Linked DNA regions of Coturnix japonica. The protein of the gene in region 1 interacts with the protein of each later gene in a pairwise test. Links are inferred from orthologs where the notes say so. Each region holds a gene or a part of one and is shown in the gene's direction. Other genes may lie near its edges. The genes, in order: ABI3, NUP58 and HOMER3.

Region 1 (6,784 bases):
GGTGCAGGAGGAGGAAGGATGTCAGCTTATCGTACAGCCGCCCTTCTCCTTAAAGGGGTTCTTGTCCTCAGGGACACCTTTTAAAAGCGGGTCCTCTCCTGCCATGGATTCTATGTATTCCTTGAGCTCTTTGCCAGTCTTGGAGACCTGCAAGGAAGGAAGGAAGGAGACGCCCAATGTGGGTTATGGGAACAAGCAGTCGCTGCAGAGCTGCTCATCGTCTGCCTATAAATCCATGTGAGCCTCTGGGAGAGGGACCCACAGAGCTGCCCTTGGCTGTGGTGTGCCCCATCAGCATCCTCAGGGTGCCAAGGTTACTCTCTGTTTTGCGTTTTGGGGCAATACTCACCATTTGCCTCTCGTTCTTCACTTCCTTCTTCAGCTGATCCAATTCCATTTTCAACAGTTCCTTCTCTGTCATATCCTGAGCCATTCTGCCCTGTAACCAACAGAGATGGCACGTGCTTGAAGCTTGTCAAGGGCACTTTAGGACTGTTGCTTTTGCCCTAATGCTACTGCAAATAACAGCTGATAACAGCCCTCCATTCCTTGTGCCAGCCCTGCAAGTAAGAGGTTAATTGTGTCCCTTCACTGCTGTTACCTCTGTGTGCACAGAGACCTTCAATGCTGTGAGCTGGAAAAGCCCATCTATTTTTTACGAAGGGGCATCCAAGGGTTATAAGAGAGACTTGGAGAGTTGGCTTGTGCTGCTCCCATATTAAAACTTGGGCTCGAAAGCCTGGCCACAACCACTTAAATCATAAAGAGGAATGTGATTAAGCAGCAATGCTTCTTGTCTCTGCTTTGGAAGTCATCAAACTTCTGTTCCCCAAACCCTGCTGATTTTGTGTGGCTGTTTTCATGGCATACATACCCAGTGCTCCTCTCCCCATCAATGTTTATGATGGGTCCCAAGGAGATGAAAGATGCAGCTCAGCTGTGCTATCAGCTCATGGGGGTGATGGTAACACCTGCAATTCCTTTGTGCCTGGAGGAAGCAAAGCCACTTACCTGTATGGATGAGGGGCTGCCCCTCTCACTGCTGGAGATGTTCAGAAACCCATCGAGCTGCCGTCCTCTGTGTCTGCACTGTTCTGTTTGAAGACTCCTTTGGATCTCCCAGCCTGTAGCAAGGAGCAGATGTCTTTGGTCCCTAAGCTGATAATAGACTCAGAAGAATAAGCTGGTCAGGTGTTGGGCATTAGCCTCAAAGCTTGGGGTAATCAGTGGTGGGGCCATAGGGGAGGGTGAGGGAGGAAGGGCAAGGGTGGAGATGAGCTTTGTGGGGCACTCAGCAGCCCCTGAGCTCACACTGTGTGTTTTTGAGCCTATGTAGGCCTGGGGCCTGGCTGGGGGAGCAAAGGGAGCATCCCTTTCTCCTATGGGATGGAATGGGGGGGGCAGGAGGCAGCTGGGGTGGCTCTTGGCCATTAAGGGGGTGAGAAGCAGAGCTGGTTCATCATTTCCCTCATCCTCACCTTAATTGCTGTGGGCAATTATGGACATTTGGCTCTTGCTTTGCCCATGTGAAGCCCTAAAGCTGAGGACAGAACTCAGGAGGCCCCAAGGAAGCATAAGGAGGAGGAGGTAGAGGGGGATTCCCAGCATGAGGGACCCTCCCAGTGCTGGGAAGTGAGAGTTTCCTGCCCTTGGCTGTGGCCTCTTGCACTGTCCTGTGCGGATGGGAAAAACCATTAGCAAAGCACAAGGAGGGACGTGTTGTCCCAGCAAACAGAGCTAAGCAGAAACTGATGGCTGCACCCAGCCTGAGCTGGGTGAGGTGCAGGCACGGGGCTGTCTGGAGAAGATGAGCTGGCAATGGAAGCATCACTCTGGAGCTAGATCTCCTCCTGCCAGTCCCATAAAGGCAAGGGGAAGGGAATTGCCCTTGCTGGGTGCAACAGAGCCAGGCCTGGCCCCCTGCCCCCCAGGCTCCATCAGAGGATGGAGGTGCAAGCTCCAAATTACCAAATTTGGGCTGTCAGGAGCCAAACTGCAGCACTGACCTGGAAATGGTGCCCTACCCATGGCCATGCTGCCTTCAGCCTCATGAAGAAGCCATACTCCCTTGATGGGGCTGGTTGAATTAGAGGGGGTGAGTATGGATGTGTAGAGCAGTTGTAGGCGGCCTTGCAGCACTCCAACAGCTTTCAGGTTCTACCTGCAGCCTCCAAACCTCCACCAAGGGAAGCTGGGAGAGGTGACAACCCACGGAGCATCAGCAAAGCAATACGTCAGCATCACCGCGAGCTTCAAAACTCGGCGCCTTAAAGACTGGGGAGGAAGTGGGCTCCGGTCCCAGCGCTATGGCGGAGCCGCTGCAGCCCTGCGATGTCCCCGCAGCACGGCAGGGACTGCGTGATAACCACAACAACCTGCAGCGTGTGGCTGAGTATTGCGAGAGCAACTACCTGCAGGTGGGGTGTAGGGATGTGTGTGGGGCTGGGATGGGTTGGGGGGTCTGTGGTGGTGATGGGGAGGATGGTGTGGGGGTGAAGGCTTTGCTGTTCCCATTCATTTCCTGCCCAGCATTGAGAGCTTCTCTCGTGCCTCAGTTTCCCCTCTGCTCAGCCATCAGGGTTATGTGTGGGACATTGTGGGGGGGGTCTTCTGGGGTTTTTTGGTGCTGGAGGGGAGCAGGGATGGCAGCTCAGGGTCTGGGAGGTGCTGACAGTGCTCACTCCTTCCCAGCATAGGGTGGGCAATGGGCTCTGTGCTGTCCTACTCCCCCCTGTCCCTGTGACCTGCTGAGGGGATGGCAAAGGGTTGGTTTGGCCCCATTGGCTGGGAACAGTGCCCTGACCGGGGGTCTCTTGGGTGCTTTAAGGATCCCACCTTGGTAGCCTCATTCCCCCATGGCAGACCCAAGGGAGTGGTGATGGTTGTTCCCTCACCCCATCTGGGGCTGTGAATCTGCACTCTGTCCCATGGCCGGGCATTGCTGCTGCCTCAGTTAAGCATCATCCAGGGCTGGGTTGTTTTCTCATGCTGAAGCTTCTGGTCGGTTCACAGCCCCCCAGCTGCATCTCTGAAGGGGAAGCATGCAAAACAGCTCAGAGAACTGAGACTGCTTCCCCAGCTGCTGGCAGCGGGACTGGAACAGTCCCAACAGCACAGACCCTCCTGATCCCCTCTGTGCTTCTCCCACTGCACCCTGATGGTGCTGAGCATCGCTGAGTCCCACTGCCTGAGCTGGAGGAACTGTGATGCATTTGGAAAGCAGAAGGAAGCCCCTTTGCTCCCTTGTGACCCTGGTTTGGGTATGACGGCGGCGGCACTTTGTGCTCTCAGCCATCCCAGCTCATCACAGCTGTGTTTCACCCTCCAGGCAAGCGACAAGAGGAAGGCTCTGGAGGAGACGATGGCTTTCAGCACACAGTCCTTGGCCAGTGTGGCTTATCAGGTCAGCAGCCTGGCCACCACCTTCCTGCAGCTGCTGGACCTGCAGGCAGCCGAGCTGCAAAAGCTGGAGGCCAATGTCAGCTGTGTAGCCCAGGTGGGTCTGACCTCAGCCACTGCCATGGGTCTGTACTGCTGTGGGGTTTCAGCCCTGAGAAAGGAGCAGCTTACAGGGACTGGAGACCAACTTTTCTTGTGGTTTTAATGGCCTGTCAGCCCCTGCAGCACCTTGGTCACCCAAGAAGCTAAAGGACAAGACTACCGAGGGGTGGGAAACTGTTCTTAAGGGCTTGTCTTAGTCTGGGTGTTTGGGGACCATGGCAGCCTCTGGGGAAGCCCCCAAGGAGCTACCCTGCAGCAGTCACATAGGCTCAGATGCTGTTATCTCCCCTCGGTGGACACTGGCCTCGTCCCCTTGGAGAACTAGGGACAATGACTCAGAGCCCTGCAGCCACTCACTTTCTTCCTGATATTTGAGGGCTCCTTAGAGCCTTTCCTGCTGCCTCCACAGAGCGTTGACATGCACAAGGAGAAAGTATCTCGTCGGGAGATCGGCGCTTTGACCGTCAGTAAGAGGTTCCCATCCCACCAGAAGATCACATCCCCCCCCAACCCACCCTCCCTAGAGCCCTACTACAGGAAACCCCTCAACTTCAGCATCCTGGATGACATCGGTCACGGCATAAAGGTCAGCCTGGAGGGTGTCCCGTGGGTAGATGGGGGTTTAGATGGGCTTTATGTGATCTGGTGGGGGTACAAACCCCTCCTGGATGGAGAAAGGGGGTCTGTCTATGCTTCCTCCAGGACTTGTCCCAGTGGGGCTCATCTTGGTGCAGGAGGGGAATGGGACACTGACAATGCCATAAAGGCACACAGTCCCAGAGTTGCTTGGCTAAGGCTGAGTTGCATTACACCCACAGTGCTGTTCCAGCACTGAAACTGCCCCTGTAAGCTGCCCCCTCACCGGAAGGCGTCTGTGGGTTTTCAGCAGCATCAGAGCCACGTGCACAGTGTGAAACCGCTGTGGAGTCGAAGGGGAAGTGACAGTGCTGGGGCTGCAGTTCCCACGGTGGCAATGCCAGACAGCAGCACCAATATCTGCTTCTATCAGCACCAATATCTACTTCTATTAGCTGGGGCAGCCCCTCACCACCCCCCATCCTTTTGAGAAGGGTTCAGCAAAGGCCTTTGGGGCACTATAAGGGCATGGTAGGCATGGAGTGCAATGAACTTGTCATGTGTATGTGTTTTCTTCTGCCTGCAGGATCACAGCACTCAGCTGTCCAGGACAGGCACACTGTCTCGGAAAGGGATGAAGATAACCACACAGTCTGCAGGCACCATGGGGTGAGGCTTCTGGGATGGTGTAGAGTAGGGAATCTTTAGCTTGGGTGTCACTGAGCAGGGACAGAGCCATGGGGTGCACTGCCCAATGCAGCTGCCCTCTGTGTCCTGTCAGCATGGGCTCAGTGCCTGCTCTGTTGGCAGGAGGAGCACTCGTGTCCCTGAGCCCATCCAGCCCCCCGTGGTTCCCGAGGGAAAGCTCTCTGCAGCTTCATCTGCTTCCTCACTGACATCAATCAGGTACCAGCCTGGGCCAGGGGGGTGTCTGGAATAACCAGGGAGAGGGGGATCAGTGGGAATAGGGCAGCTGTGGTTACCCCACTGCATCTATTTGCAGAGAGGTTTTGATAAGCAATATTGTATTGGAGAGCAGGAAATTCACTGTGTGTATCTAGAGCAAAATAACAGAGATGGTTCCCAAGGGGGAAACTAAGGCACAGGATGGGGAAATGGCTTTGCACACAGATGCTGGGGTGCCTGCCCGTGGTGACAGCACTGGGTGTCACCCTGTTCTAGCATAGAGCAGACACCCATGTTCAAAGATGGGAGGGCTGAGACATGCCTCCCCACACACACATACACCCCTTTTACCTGACTCTGAATCCCCAGCTCAAGTGGAGGAGCCCCTGGGGAAGGCATCCCAGCACCACCCCCACTCCCACCCCTCCCGGGACCACCACCCACCCCAGCTGCAGCCACCATCCCACCCCCTCCACCTCTCCCTGGGGATCTGCTCCCACCACCACCACCACCAGGGGACCTGGATGTGCCCCCACCAGACTTCAGCCTTCCAGGTGAGTGCTGCGGTGTCTGGGGGGTGCTCATTTCAAACACAAATGCTGTGCTCTGCTCTGTATGGAGCCGCTTGACTCTCACTGAATTTGTTCTACAGTCTCCAATGACCCAGAGTCACCGCTGCCACCACCACCACCACTGCCCAACTTTGAGGATTTCACCCCACCACCACCACCACCAGCTGCAGAGGAACCCTCATGTGTCCCTGAGAGCTACTTGGATAAAGGTACAGCAGCTCCAGGGTCAGATCTGCTGAGATCCACCAGATTCTTTGGCCCTGGATGTGGTCACAGCACTGAGGATGTGACTGCCCCACTACAGGGCAGTGCAGAGGCTCAGCCCTTCCCTCCTGCCCATCTCAGCTGTCCCCACTCTTCTCCATGGCGTCTCTCCCCTTCTTTGCACAGTGCTGACCATCTACCCGTACACACGACAGAAGGACAATGAGCTCTCCTTCGAGCCTGGTGCCCTCATCTATGTCACACGGAGGTACTCTGATGGATGGTGTGAAGGCATCATGGGCGAGGAAGCAGGTTTCTTCCCTGGCAATTATGTAGAGCCCTTCTGAGCACCAGCAGCTCCCCGACCCCTCATCGCCCACCCAGCTCAGCTGTGTCCAGGAGGTGAGGGCTCCACTTTGCCTTTGACTTCTGGCTTTGCACAGCTCAGCCCCTTTTTGCTGCAGCCATGACATGACCCCATGCCACATGCTGCTGCCTGCACCCCACACATCCCCCTGCCTGCTCCCTGCACCTCATCCCACCCTTTGTCATTTTTTTTAATGACACCAGCAATTGATGATGATGATGATGATGCTGTGAAGGTTTAGCACTGAGGCAACTCCCTGGCCCTCAAGCTGTTGGAAATGGGGGGGTGGGAAGCAAGCTCTGAAATCCCTTGGGCTGGCCCTGGTGCTGCTCTTAGACCCCTAGGATTGACAGCAGAGTAGGACCAAAGCTCAGAAATCATAAGCACGAAGAGGAGAGCAGCTCTGGGGCAAGGAACTGCTCCCAGCTGCTTGAGAGGAGGGTGAGCCAGGTCTAAGTCCTGTACCAAAGGGGCTCCTGTAGGTCAGGCCCAACCTGCAGAGCACTGCTCATAACCCAATCCCACTCTGCTGCTCCCCTGGTCAGCTCCCAAGGCTGCCTTCCTCCTCCTGCAGCCTGAGGAAAAGAAACACCACGTGTGTGCACTTCAGAGCCATCTCACTTTCAGGTTTATGTTCTGGATACAAATAACTTGTGTA
Region 2 (6,616 bases), on another chromosome or scaffold:
GTTGGACTCGATGATCTCTAGAGGTCCCTTCCAACCCCTACAATTCTGTGATTCTGTGATATGAGGACAGCATCAGCACTCCAACTCCTTAAAGCCTTCCAACTCTGATGGCCAATTTCTAGATGTACTTTGCTTACAGATAGATTAAGTGTATTTTAGATCCAGCCTCCATAGATGATATGCTCAGTAAAACCCCACACAGCCAGCTCTAATGGGTACTCGGCTCAACAAGCGCACACCTGCTTCAGGGACATGCCTTTATTTACATATATGTATTTTTTAACTATAAATCTGTTGTTCAGTTTTGAAGAGAATGGAGCCACAAAATCCTGAAGACAGCTATGGAGTTTTAGCACATCTGCTAACAAGGTTCACTTAAGGAGGTAGAAGTAACATGCTGGCTGTAACCAGCACTAACAAGCCAGTGATACAGATACACATAATCAGATACCTTGATAACATAACCCAATTCCCTTGAAAGAGAATAACCACACAGCTCGTTAGGACTGGGAGTTACAGATTAAAGACAAAAAATAAAGTGTTTCAATGTTGGAAATGAATTAGTACAGAAAGGAAAGCTAAAATTCTCTCTGATGCCCTGTACTGAAGACACTGAAGAATCACCTTATATCAAATAATGAGATAAAAATACGCTGTATCATTCAAAGACTCATTACCACTTCAATTAGGAAAAGCACGTTAATCTCCCAGCAGTCAGAATGGAGTCCAAATCATGCCTACACATGCACTGACCTTGTAGGGCACCTAGTGCAGTGGCCAGACTTAAATATTATAATAAAAGACACATTTTAGCCCTAAAACCCATCATTTTAAAACAGACTGGAGGGGCCCGGCGAGGCTGGGACACGATGGGCCCAAGCACACCCCACACCCCCACCCCATAAGCAACCATCCCGGCTTTAACAGCACCGTCACCCCGCGGTACCTTGGTAGTGCGGATGTGCTCCATGACGGCCCCGAGGCTGAACACAGCACGCAGAGCCGGGCCGGGCTGCCGACACCTACTGCCCGTCACCTACTGCCGCTTCCGGGCCGGGGCCGGGCGGAGCCTGGAATAATGGCCTACAGCGCCCCCTGGAGGCGGGAGGCTGCGCGGCCCGACTTGGCCACTGTGGTGGTGCCGTGTTGTGCTGGTGGTGACGCAGGGGGTGTTGGCTGTTGGGTTTGGTGTTGTGTCGTAGCGCTTCACTCTCATCACCCAGTCACAGAATCAATTATCAAGGTTGGAAAAGACCTAGAAGATCATCTAGTCCAACCATTACCAATACTTCCCAGCTAAATCATATTCCTCAACACAACATCCAAACGTTTCTTGAACACTCCCATGGTTGGTGACTCCACCACTTCCCTGGGCAGTGCATTCCAGTGCCTGACTACCCTTTATGAGAAGTAATACTTCCTAATGTCCAGCCCTCCATAGGAGCTGCTGTTGGGGGAGAAGGGAATGAGCGTGCAGTCCTAGAATCAGAATCAGTGTGGGTCACAGAATCACAGAATCACAGAATGACCCGGGTTGGAAGGGACCTCAAGGATCATGTAGTTCCAACCCCCCTGCCTGGCAGGGCCACCAAACATACACATTTACTAGATCAGGTTGCCCAGGGCCCCATCCAGCCTGGTCTTGAACACCTCCAAGGACGGGGCATCCACAACCTCCCTGGGCAGCCTGTTCCAGGGCCTAACCACTCTCCTAGTGAAGAACTTCCCCCTAACATCCAACCTAAATCTTCCCTCTTTTAACTTAAAACCATTTCCCCTAGTCCTGCTATTGTCAGCCCTTTCGAAGAGTTTACTCCCCTCCTGGGAGTAAGTTCCCTTCAGGTATTGAAAGGCTGCAAATCTTGTAAATGGGTTGGAAAAGATCATCCAGTCCAGCCTTAACTCAAACCCTGACACCCACATTCCACATCAGTCAGTTCTGCACCCACACAGTACTGAACGCCTCCAGGTTCGGTGGCTGCACCGCCTCCATGGGCAGCCTGTGCCACTGCCTCACTGCTTCGTCTGAGAAGTTTTTCCTACCTTCGTCAAACACTTGGTTTTCAAATGATTCAGGGAGGTAATTGTCCCCCTGTACTCAGCACTGGTGAGGCCGCACCTCAAGTACTGTGTTCAGTTTTGGGCCCCTCACTGCAAGAAAGACATTGAGGCCCTGGAACGTGTTCAGAGGAGGGCAACAAAGCTTGTGAGGGGTCTGGAGCCTTATGAGGAGCGGCTGAGGGAGCTGGGATTGTTCAGCCTGGAGAAGAGGAAGCTCAGGGGAGACCTTATTACTCTCTGTAACTTCCGGAAGGGAGGTTGTAGTGAGCTGGGGGTTGGCCTCTTCTCTCGCGTAATCAGTGATAGAACTAGAGGGAATGGTTTTAAGCTGCGCCAGGGGAGATTCAGGCTGGACATTAGGTAGTATTACTTCTCGGAAAGGGTAGTCAGGCACTGGAATGCACTGCCCAGGGAGGTGGTGGAGTCACCAACCATGGGAGTGTTCAAGAAACGTTTGGATATTGTGTTTATGAATATGATTTAGCCGGGAAGTATTGGTAATGGTTGGACTAGATGATCTTCTAGGTCTTTTCCAACCTTGATAATTCTGTGATTCTGTGATTGGGTGACGATGCCCACAGGCCTTCAGAGGGTATTAATATAATGTCCTAATATAATATAACGACTCCCGTTTCCCGTTAACACCTATAACAATAGCAGACTGCTGCCCATCCATCCTCCACGCTCAGTGCCGTGCACCCGTCGGGTCGCTGTCGCTTTAAGATCGGGCTGTGGCGGTGCCTCCATCCCGTGGTGCGTAGCGCGGTGCGCGCGTAGTGCTGTGCTGCGTGGTTGCCCGGTTGCTCGGTCTCTCGGTGTCTGGCCGCGTTCCTCCCGCTGGATCCGCTCCGTGCCGCCATGTGGCGCTGAGGCCCCGCCCGCCTCGGGAGCCCCCGTCGCCCCGCCGAGACCCCGCCGCCGCCTGACGCCGTTCCTCAGCTCCGCTCCGCTCAGTTCCCGCCGCCATGTCTGCGGGCTTCTCGTTCGGCGCGGGCACCCTGGGCTCCGCAGCTGCTGCTGCCGCCGGGGCTGGAGGAGGAGGCGGGGGCGGCGGGTTCTCGTTCGGCACCACCGCACCGAGGTAACGCGGCCCTTCTCCCCTCAATCCCTATCGGCTGGGCCCTGCCGCCGGCCTCCCCTACCGGCCCGGCCTGCGTAGGCCTCGGGGTGGGCGGTCGGCAGGCGGCTCTACGCTTGGGTCTCTTGGCGCTTTTCCGGCCTCTCCATGCGGCCTCAGTCCCGGCCCTGCCCTCAGGTGGGATCACGGTGTCCGCACGGCCCCGGGTGCCGCGGGGCTCCGTCCGTGCCGCTGTTGTGTGCCGACCACGCGTGGCTCTGCTAAAGGCCCCGCTTAGCGCTCAGGGGTCTCTTGGAGGTGTCTCAGAGGCACCTTGGAGGTGTTCAAGACCAGGTTGGACGGGGCCCTGGGCAACCTGATCTAGTAAAGGTGTATGTTTGGTGGCCCTGCCAGGCAGGGGGGTTGGAACTACATGATCCTTGAGGTCCCTTCCAACCCGGGTCATTCTGTGATTCATTCTGTGATTCTGTGAGTCAAGTTTGAGTTTCAGGGTTGTTTTTCTTTTCCATATATGTGCGTACAGGTGTGTTAGTGCCACTGTTTCTTCTGATTTTCTTGCTGCTGTGCTTTTACTGGAAGGAAGCCTGTTCCAGTGGAGCTTTCTCAGAACTTTGGAGCTCTTCCCAAATCTGATGGTGCCAAACTAGTTGTTAGAAGTGAAGCTACTCAGGACATCAATCTCAAATGGGTGTGATTCACAATGCGTGCCCCCAAGCATTGGCAGGAATTAGCAGGGACATGGGATCATCACAGAATAGTTTGTTTGATCTCTTTTAAGGGTCCCTTCCATCAGCCACGAGCATTTTCTGGAGATTGATGGCCCTCCTTGTGGGGGGGGTTGGAACTTTATGATCCTTAAATGTACAACTATAATTGAGAACTTCTTTCATCTGATTGATGCAAGTTTCCTGTAGCATTTAAACGTTTATATAAGCGTTTATTTTTTGCTATTCTATCGAACTTTTCTTAGACTACTTAAAAAAAAAAAGAGTAAATATATCATACGTGCCAATAATATATAATATCTAAAATAATAGCAAAGATGTACTTGGCATTTTTGTTTATATCTTTATTTCCATGAGTAGGATGAGTTGATCTCTGCAGAGCTGAAAGCATTATTGCCAGGTGTTGGGGGAAAGGGGACTTTATTCTGTTGTCTAATCATAGGTTGTTATGGATCACTGTGATCAGTCACAGTTTATATTCTTGTGTCTAAAGGAGTACGGCATGGCAGCCTATGTAATTCCTGTGTGCTACATATTCAGCTTTATACAGGTATGGTGCTTTGTGAGGCGCTTGTTGCCCAAGTGAGTTGTGGATGCCACATCCCTGAATCATAGAATCATAGAATTACCGAGGCTGGAAAAGACCTTGAAGACCATCAAGTCCAACCGCAGCCTAACCAGTACCCTAACTCTAAAAACCCTCCACTAAATCATATCCCTGAGCACCACATCCAAACGGCTCTTAAACACAACCAGGGATGGCGATTCAACCACCTCCCTGGGCAGCCTATTCCAGTGTTTAACTACCCTTTCTGTAAAGAAATTCTTTCTAATATCCAACCTAAACTTGCCTTGGCGCAACTTGAGGCCATTTCCCCTTGTCCCATCATTTGTCACTAGTGAGAAGGGACTTGCCCCACTCTCAGTGAAGGTGTTCAAGGCTGGATTGGATGGGGCCCTGGGCAGCCTGATATAGTGGGTGGCAGCCCTGCCCATTGCAGGGCTGGATCTGGATGAGCTGTGTAAGGTCCCTTCCAGTCTAAGCCTTTCTGTGTTTTGCTCTAGCTCCAAAGTTAGAGTTTTCCCTTAGGGCCACCACGCCGAGGTAATGCCTTCCATCTGTGGGCAGTAGGAAATAAACCCTGTGATCTGTGCTTTTCCATGCTGCCACTGGTTTGCCTTTGTTTTGGCTTAGTTAAACTTGTTCATTTTTCAGTTTCTCTGTTGATGCTGTTGTTTGGTTTTTTGTTTTCCCCATAGTGCTGAGCACTTGTTAGATATAGGAGCTGTGCTCATACTGAAAGTGAGGAGGTGAGGGAATAAAGAGAGGATATTAAACATATGACACTTAATCTGTGAAGATTGTTACGTTGAAGTCTAAACTGTGCTTTATTTCATTGCTGCTGTTGTACGCTGTGCCAGATGTCTCAACTGAAGGGAACTTGTGTAGTTTATCAAGAGACCAGCTTGTCTCTCTCCTTTCTTTCTTGTGTCTTCCATGTGAAAATAGCTCTGGGAATTAATTTCTTTAATTGGATTGTGCAGTGTATTCTTAGAAAAGAAAATATTTGAAGTGTAGGTATGGGTCATCTGTGATTTGCATTTATAGGCAACAAAAGTGGTTTTGTTCCTGTTTCTTGCTAAAGCAGGACAAAGCTGATGGTCTGGTGCATCTGTGTTCTTACTGCTTCAGAATGAAGTAGCACGGGTTGAGGTTTCTGGTTAGACATATCCAAGTGTACTTGCATTGTGCTTTGAGAAGACAGAAATAAGGGGTTTGGATCTTTTCCTTTTGAGGAAATAATAAATGTTAACACTCTTGTTTTGTAATAGCTCTACAGGAGGACTTAATTTTGGAACTCTGGGTTCTTCCACTGCTACGGCAACTACGTCTGCTCCTTCAGTGGGATTTGGAAGCGGGCTCTTTGGATCGAAACCAGCCACTGGCTTCACACTCGGAGGCACCAGTACAGGTAGGAAAAACACTTGTACAGCAGACATGTAAAGCAATGGTGAAGCAATGTACCATAGGCACATAAAAACAGGATTATAATATGGTTCTTTTTTCATTGTAACTCATATCTGTAGCTCAGAATATCATGTCATGACTCCATATATTACATCAGCTTCACTGTTAATAGATTCTTATGAGATTGTTTGTTTTAAAGGCTTCATGCTTTAATTTGCGTAGCTGGGGTTTACAACTAGTGGTCTTGATGTGACAGTTACTCTGCTTTCAAGATGCTACGTAATGTAACATAAGATATGTAGTGAAACAAAGCACTGGAATAAATAGTTATGATTGTTGGTAACATAACTGCTCAGTGGGCCTCACTGTTCTTACTCTTTTTCTTCTTGAAGCAGGAACAGCAACAACCATTGCTCCAGCACTGACTCTGGGTAAGGACCTCATTTGGATAGTAATGATTTACAGGGGAAAAAAAAAGCTGTTTAGTTCTTATTATGTAGGAGGTTAACGTTTGTGCCAGCTTTTTGCTCACTGCTCATTGCAGTCTGCTGTGAGCTGGAGTGGAGCTAAAGGGTTATTCCATTCCTGTACAACAGTATAAGTAGTCACAGTAAGAAGCTAGACTGCATCTAAATCCCCTGATGAGTTCCATCCTTCAGCAGAGAAGTGGAGTCAATAACCAAAGAATTCTTAAGTCAGAATTTCTTCATGTTGTGAACTTTGAGAGAACAGATCTGTTTGCTAATATTCCCTCTACTGGAAGAGTAAAGAGGTTTGAACTGG
Region 3 (6,848 bases), on another chromosome or scaffold:
ATAGAAGGCTTAAAAAGAGCAGGTGTGAATAATCCATTCCTGGTTGGGCCTCCTGCTGCCTTCAGCAGGCTGAGATTTCTGTTGTGTCTGCCCTTGGTTGTGGTTGGAAGTGCTTCTTTTCCCCCAGGCTGGACCTGTTCAGCTTCTGCTCCCAGCCCTTAGGCTGCATTGTACCTGTTATGGCTCCGTTGAAGTCACGCTGTGTGCTTTCCTTTCATTGATGGAGTTCAAAATGGAGCAGTTCTGTTCTTTCTCATGGCTTTGCTTTGAGCCCTCTGCTCAGTGAGCTGGGCAGGTGGTCATTGGGCACCTCTACCCCTGGGTGCCTCAGCCGAACAAGGAGGGACCTGTTTCTGATAGAATATATCCAGACTAAGATCACATGGGGTTTGTTGGTTGGTTGGTTGATTGGTTTGGGTTTGGTTTTTGCTGTTTTTCCTTTTCCTATGGGTACCCAGAGACCCTTCAGTGGTGCCCGGCTGTGGCCGCGTTGTTTGCGCCCAGCTCTGCTCGCTGTGCCCGGCAGGTGGTGCCGCCGAGCCGGCACCGGCCCCTGGAATAAAGTCGAGAGAAGGAGCGGAGAAATGTGACCGAGATGGGGCAGTTGGAAGAGAGAGGAAGCGAATAGGAGAGAGAAGGGGGAAAAATACCCAAAAAACCCACTACAATACGAGTGAGAGAAGAAAGAAATCGCGATCCAGAAGGACAAGCGGCAGCGGTGGTTGAGCTTCTTGGGCTGCGGGGAGAAACTTGCGAGGCTGCCGGAGCAGCAGCGAGCAGACGGCTTTGTCTAAAAGCGCTTGCAAAAGCACCACCTAATCCTGCTGCTCCCCTCCCATGCTGAAGGGAAGGAGGGAGCCTGGGAGCCAGAACGCAGGGGGAGCTGCTGGGGAGCTCAGCGGTCGGGGCACTGCCCGAGTTCCACCGCTGGGTGTGGGCTCCCGCAGGCCGGGGGGGTCCGGGTCGCCCCTACCCTGGGTGCCCCGCGAGACCGGGGGGTTGCCGGGCGTTTGGAACCGACCGCAAAACTAACAGATTTCCAAGTGAAATTCCGGAGGAAATTTAAAGAGCATCCGGATCCGGAGAGAGACAGAGAAAGAAAGAGGAAGGGAGAAATAAATCAGAACGTGGAGAGAAGCTAAGGCAGCTGAAGAAAAGACGGGAGAGAAAAGAAGCTGACACCCAGGCAAAGATGGGGTGAGACTGGCACTTTCTTATTCTTGAGTTTCATTTATTATTCATGGCAGCTGAGCTATTTTTAACGTAACTGCAAAAGAAATGGGTTTATATTGCATTGTTTTCCCCCATACCGTGAGCTCGAAAGTTTAGACTTAGCTTTTTACTTTGGTTATTAGAAAGGAGATGATTGCAAATCTCTGCAACTGCTTTAAACACGTACATAAGGGAAGCCTCTAGTGATACATATGATGTACAGAACCCAAAGTGTGTGGCTGGGTGGGTCTGGGCTGTGTACATAAAGTTCTCCAAGAGTTGGGAGTTAAGGGATTTTATTGAGCTGTGGTTACTTTGACACTACAGGAAAAATGGATCCTGTTTGTATTTCTGAGTGGGTACAAAGCTGATTGGAAACCTCTGCTCCGATTGTCCTGTAATGAAATAATGCTGTGTGGATGTGGCAGTGGATTTTGGCATGGAAATAGGAGCTTAGCCTGGTATTTAATTTATGCCCTATTTATAAATCTCAGTCATGTAAGTTGAAGGACCTGACACATTGTTGGGAGTTTCTTGTGTGTTAAACTCTTCGTGGCTGTTTGGAAGCACAGTGGATCTGTCTGATCAACCCCCTCCAACTGTGTGGGTTTGGCATTACAAGGCGAATAAGTGAGATTCTTAGAGGCTTGTTTTCCTCTTGTTGATATCCCTTATGGACTATCCAGATAAAATGATCGAGCAGGCAGACACACCTTCAAGACACAGAACAGGTAGAGGCGAGGAATCAAAAGTGACAGCAGTGTGAAGCAGGCGTAGACCCTTTGAAGTCGGTGAGTATGTGCTGATACAGGTTAAAGCAGAAAGTGTCCTTGTTTTCCTCTGACTTTCCATCTGTGATGCACAAAGTTACCGTAAAGCTTCCAGAAGTGCCAGGAAGGGCGTAGCAGGCAGATGACTTGTGACAGCTCAGTGTGTTTCCCAGGGGCAGGGGATGAACCCTTCTTGGAACAGCCACAATTAACATCCATTGTGATTTCAGACCCCCAGCTCTGAATCTCTGAGCTGATGTCAGCATCTCAGTCTGCTTAGATCACTCTGTGTAACTACACTAGCAAAACTAAGCCAGAGATGACATTTCCACCCACAATTCCACTTGTCTCCTGAGTTAAAAGGTCTTTTTTGCTTGTATGTTGATCACATGGGGATATTAAGTAGCTTTCAGCAGCATTTAGATTCCTCTCGATACAGAAGGGATTAAAAGTGTCCCACCTTCAAATGATGTTTGGCACTTGGTTTTAGTTGATTTATTTTTGAAGCAGGGATTCTGGGCTTTGTTCCTCCATGTTAGATGTCTTTGGTAACATCACATTCTGCTTTTCACAGGCAAACTGCCCTTGGACTCGTGTATTAGCACACTAGCACTTCCTCTCTGAAGAGTAGAGTTGTAAATAACACTTGATTGCAAGGGAAGTGAATGCAGTTGGGTCCCAGCTGTGACCTCAGTAGGTATTTATATTTCTTTGTCTCTACTAACTGCATAAGCAGAGAAGCACGAGTGCATACAACTTATAATTCGATTAGTATAGAGTTTTCCCACTTATCAAAGAGTTCACCTGCTCTTGTGTGTAGTGCCGCTGCACTGTGAGCAGCAGATAGAGCTGGCCCTTGAGCTGGTTGTGCTTGTGGAGCTCTGACAAGTCCAGGTTGAAAATGGCAGCAGAGTTCAGAGAGCTGAGTGAGGGAAAGCAGGCATGTGTGCTGGATGTCAGCTGGGTCCTGTGGCTCCCAGTGAAGAAGCAGAGGCAGAATACATTTTGGAGTTGTATATGGACATGTATATGTCCACTTCTTTGGTTCTAGTTATTACTGAACATGTTTGGTTTTTTATTCTTCTGGAATGTAAGAAGAGTTGTGTAGTTTCAGTCTAGCTCTGCTGTTTTCTAACTGTAATTGCTCTGCAGGCTTCCAGCAATGGTCTGTGTGCGTCAAAAGAAAGAACTGTTGATGCTCAGTGGCAGAAGTAATGGTTGTCTCAGGAAAGTGAATGTGTAGGTTGTGTTACAGACACCCAGAGTGTTGCAGAGTGTTCAGCAATCAGAATGCTCTGTAGATAGAGACTGGTTTCTGAGAGAGGGAAAAAAATAAACAACAGCGGATTTGTATGTCTTTAAATGCCCTTGATCTCCGTTCTCTGTGCCTGACCTTGCCTGCTTGCTGCTGTTCCCAACAGGAGCATATTCAGCTGGGATTCCTTTGCTGCCCTTTATCTGCAGGCAGGCCAGGAGGCAGCTGCTTTTCATTCCTATGCTAAACCCTGCTGGTTAATCTCTTGGGAGTTGGGGGAGGCCACAGGGAAAGCAGCCCACAGCCAGCTTCCAGCTCCCACTGCCGGAGCTTCACTGCTCAGCCTTCCTTGTGTGGCTGCTGATAGAGAAGTCTGGCCTCTTCTGGTCCCACCTGGACTCCAGCAGCATCTAAGCATTTCACCCAAGGTGACATGATGCAGCACTGAATGAAAGCAAGACTGTAGCTCAAAGGGCCTGAAAACCTGCCTGGTGGTTGGAGCAAAGGGCTACGGGCCTTCCCAAACTTTTGCAGCAGGTCAGTGAATAATAATCATGTCCTGCAGGCCAGTACCCAAATCCTAGGCAGGCAGTGTCCATGCACACCCTGTGCACCCGTTTATGAGGAAGCAATAGCTTCCATAAGCTCTTGGAGGTAGTGAGACCCAGTCTCTGGCTTGGGAAAAGTTAGACTTCCAGAATAAAGGCAATGAGAAAGAAATGAGGTTTGATTCTGCAGTCCTGTTAGTCCACACTTCCTCAGAAAGCACTGACATGCAGTCATCAGCTATTCAGGCTGCTGAGGGAAGATAAAAGGAAACAAAGATAGACAGCAGTGGAGGAGGAAACTGGTTCTCACGTCCTCTCTATGCTCCAGTTCTGCCTTTTGAAATACCAGGCCCTGGCAGGCTGAAATGCATTCCCCCCCCCAGCCTGTCCCAGCCATCTCCTCCCTCAAATTACCCAGTACTGCACTGCATAGTGGGCTTTTTCACATGAGAGAGTGCTGGCTGCTGATCAGCAGCAGGCACAGCCCTGACGCAGCCAGCACGGCCTCCCAGCTGACTCAGCGTGGTGCTGGGCCAGGCGCCAGAGCTGAGCCACATATCTTTGGTGCTCACATGCTCTCACGTACCCCCTTCTGCTCTGCGCAAGCAGGACCCATCCAGGAAAGTAGTCCTTGGAGAGAAAGGACTTTAGGAAAGATTACATTGAGAACTGCAAAGTTTTCACCACAGCAGCTGGGAAATCCTTACCTAATGCTGTCCATGGACCTTTATCAGTTGACTTTTTTTCTGGGGACTCGCATGGCTGTGCACTGAGTCCAGCCACAGTGCAAAAATACGTCCCTAAGTCTCTGTGCTCTTAAAGGTATCCCGCTGCTATCACACCCCAGAGCCCCTCCCTACCCTTGTACCTGTGCAATGTTGTGCCCACAGTTCACAGAAACAAATGATTCTGCTGATAGGGTACTTTGTGGTTTCTCATATGGCATTTCTGATTTGGTTTTTAGATGAAGGGGAGCTGCAGACTGCTTGGATGCAGAGCGAGGTATTTAAAATGATCGCCCTCTCTGTGTCCAAATGCAGAGACTTCTTTCTCTGACAAGTAAATGAATGTCCCTGCAAAGAGAAGCTGCAGTGAAAGAGAGGGGGAGCAGCATGTGAACCTCTAGATGTGCCCTTGGCTGAACCCTATCCAAGAACACCAAGGCAAATGCAGTTAATGAGGACTGAGCTCAGCCTCACCAGCACGTCCCAGCTGCTGCTTTAAGTGCAGCATCTGTTTGGGGAATGGTGACTCTAAAAGCTTCCCTTTCCAAAGCAAACATAGCAAGATTTCTTTCTGGTCATGCAGCAAAGGGGACAGGTGGGCAGGAGGTAGTAAGTCATTTGGTTAACTAAATAGGCGTGTTTTAGGTGGGTAGACAGGATTGTGAGGCCAGAATTACTAATGGGGGGGAAAATAAAAGATTCTCAGTAGGAAAAATCCTCCAGATTGCACAGGAAAAATGGAGAAAAACAAGGACACAAAGCATGAGCCAAATGCAGCGGTGCAGTCAGAAACACCTCCCCACGCCCTGTGTAGAAGCTACTGAGCAAAGACGTTGCTGGGTGCCATAAAAGATCTGAAGCAAAGAGCGTTTAAAGATGAAAATAATAAAAGGGTTTATTCTTCTCCCTCTTTTCCTTTCAACGAGGTCTGGCAGGAAGGCTGCATTTTAGCAGTTGCCCTTAGGTTTGGGAACCCACTGAGGAGAGCGAGCCTGTAACTGTCAAATGGGATTTTCCTAAAGAGGTGGTATTTGCACTGGAAATACTACGCAGAAGTAAATGCAGCAAAAGGTTGTTTCTCTGAGAAGACCAATGCTGTGTAAAGAACCCAACAGGCAGCTGGAATTGGGGTGTGACAAAGACAGCACACATTGAAACACAGGAGCTGCCACGGTGCTGTTGAAATTCTGTTCCCAGCTCTGTCTGTGCCTTCTAAACAAAAAGAATCTCTTTTTGTTTCTGTTTGGTTATTAAACCCATCTGCTGGATTGAGAGTATTTCTCCAGCAAGGATTAGAGAAAGTGCTCTGTAAAATCCTCCCACTAAAGACATCTCAAGCAAAGGAATTAATGGTGACTCTCTGCTGCAGGTGTAGATGGTCCATGTAGTAGAGCTGGATAGAGAAGCTCCCTGTTATCAGGAGCTCTGCTTCAGCTTGGATGTTGTATTGTGGTGTGATGAGCCCGTGTGGCATATGCATTGCAGTGATTCAGGGGAACAGAGCTGGTGCCAGTCCCTGGTGTTGCCTCTGAACAGCTGCAGGCCCATTTGGACAGGCTTCTCTTGGAGGTGGCTTATTTCCTTTTCTGTTGCAGGGGAGATTCTCTGGCACGTTCTGTCTGCAGAAGCACTGGATTTCTTCAGAAGATCTTACTTAGGAACAAGCTTACAGGCCTATAAAGAGCCTGTATCCATCCAGGACACTCAAGGACAGTCTGTAAATCTACTGACATATGTGTTCAGATTACACAGAATTGGAGAGGCAGCACTGGTTTTAATCTCCAGATTTTGGCACTTTAGCTCAGCATTCCCCCACAGGTGAAACGTGGCACTGGTGCAAGAGAATGAACTGATGCCATCTGTACCTCCTTGGCACATGGCATTGCTTGCAGGGTATTCTCTTCTAGGGGCTTGGCAGCATTTGGATGTATCCCATCATGGTGAGGCCCCTCACTCAGTGTTGGCCAACTCAGTCCCTTTGGCTCTCAGTTGTCAATACTCTACTGGGGCCATAAAATAAGAGGACAAATAATGATTTGCTGTCATAGTAATGGTGAAATAAGCAGCTATTCATTAAGAAATCAATTAGGGCATTGTAATGATGAGAATAATATAAGAATCAAGGTACAAATGAAACCAGCATGCATTTTTGTATGTCATCTTAAGGACCACTGGGTCGAACTCCACTCAGTGAGCAAATCAGCTATGATTGATCCATGTTATTTCCAGACATCCAGTGACTTTCTTCCAACTTCTCTAAGGAGAACCAACAAAAGGAGGTAGCTGAGTCTGTGCTCTGGTGCTACAAAGAGCATGTTAGGAATAGCTGGATTAGTTG

The links.
Region 2: the proteins of ABI3 (region 1) and NUP58 interact in binary tests that used the Homo sapiens proteins (3 or more experiments, as listed by UniProt). The two-hybrid records come from large-scale screens. The link is inferred for Coturnix japonica from reciprocal best matches to the Homo sapiens genes ABI3 and NUP58.
Region 3: the proteins of ABI3 (region 1) and HOMER3 interact in binary tests that used the Homo sapiens proteins (3 or more experiments, as listed by UniProt). The two-hybrid records come from large-scale screens. The link is inferred for Coturnix japonica from reciprocal best matches to the Homo sapiens genes ABI3 and HOMER3.

Annotation. Positions count from the first base shown.
Region 1 is NC_029542.1:3,002,183-3,008,966, reverse strand, and holds the start of ABI3 (ABI gene family member 3), read left to right. Parts: upstream 1-2,157; 5' UTR 2,158-2,306; coding exon 2,307-2,417; intron 2,418-3,328; coding exon 3,329-3,496; intron 3,497-3,910; coding exon 3,911-4,087; intron 4,088-4,663; coding exon 4,664-4,746; intron 4,747-4,887; coding exon 4,888-4,983; intron 4,984-5,352; coding exon 5,353-5,537; intron 5,538-5,635; coding exon 5,636-5,764; intron 5,765-5,945; coding exon 5,946-6,106; 3' UTR 6,107-6,784. Other genes in the region: GNGT2 (guanine nucleotide-binding protein G(I)/G(S)/G(O) subunit gamma-T2), read right to left, coding at 22-147, 350-433. UniProt on the Homo sapiens protein: May inhibit tumor metastasis. In vitro, reduces cell motility.
Region 2 is NC_029516.1:158,395,695-158,402,310, reverse strand, and holds the start of NUP58 (nucleoporin p58/p45), read left to right. Parts: upstream 1-2,803; 5' UTR 2,804-3,026; coding exon 3,027-3,142; intron 3,143-5,697; coding exon 5,698-5,837; intron 5,838-6,225; coding exon 6,226-6,264; intron 6,265-6,616. Other genes in the region: MTMR6 (myotubularin-related protein 6), read right to left, coding at 947-970. UniProt on the Homo sapiens protein: Component of the nuclear pore complex, a complex required for the trafficking across the nuclear membrane.
Region 3 is NC_029543.1:2,742,185-2,749,032, forward strand, and holds the start of HOMER3 (homer protein homolog 3), read left to right. Parts: upstream 1-2,556; 5' UTR 2,557-2,647; coding exon 2,648-2,679; intron 2,680-6,848. UniProt on the Homo sapiens protein: Postsynaptic density scaffolding protein. Binds and cross-links cytoplasmic regions of GRM1, GRM5, ITPR1, DNM3, RYR1, RYR2, SHANK1 and SHANK3.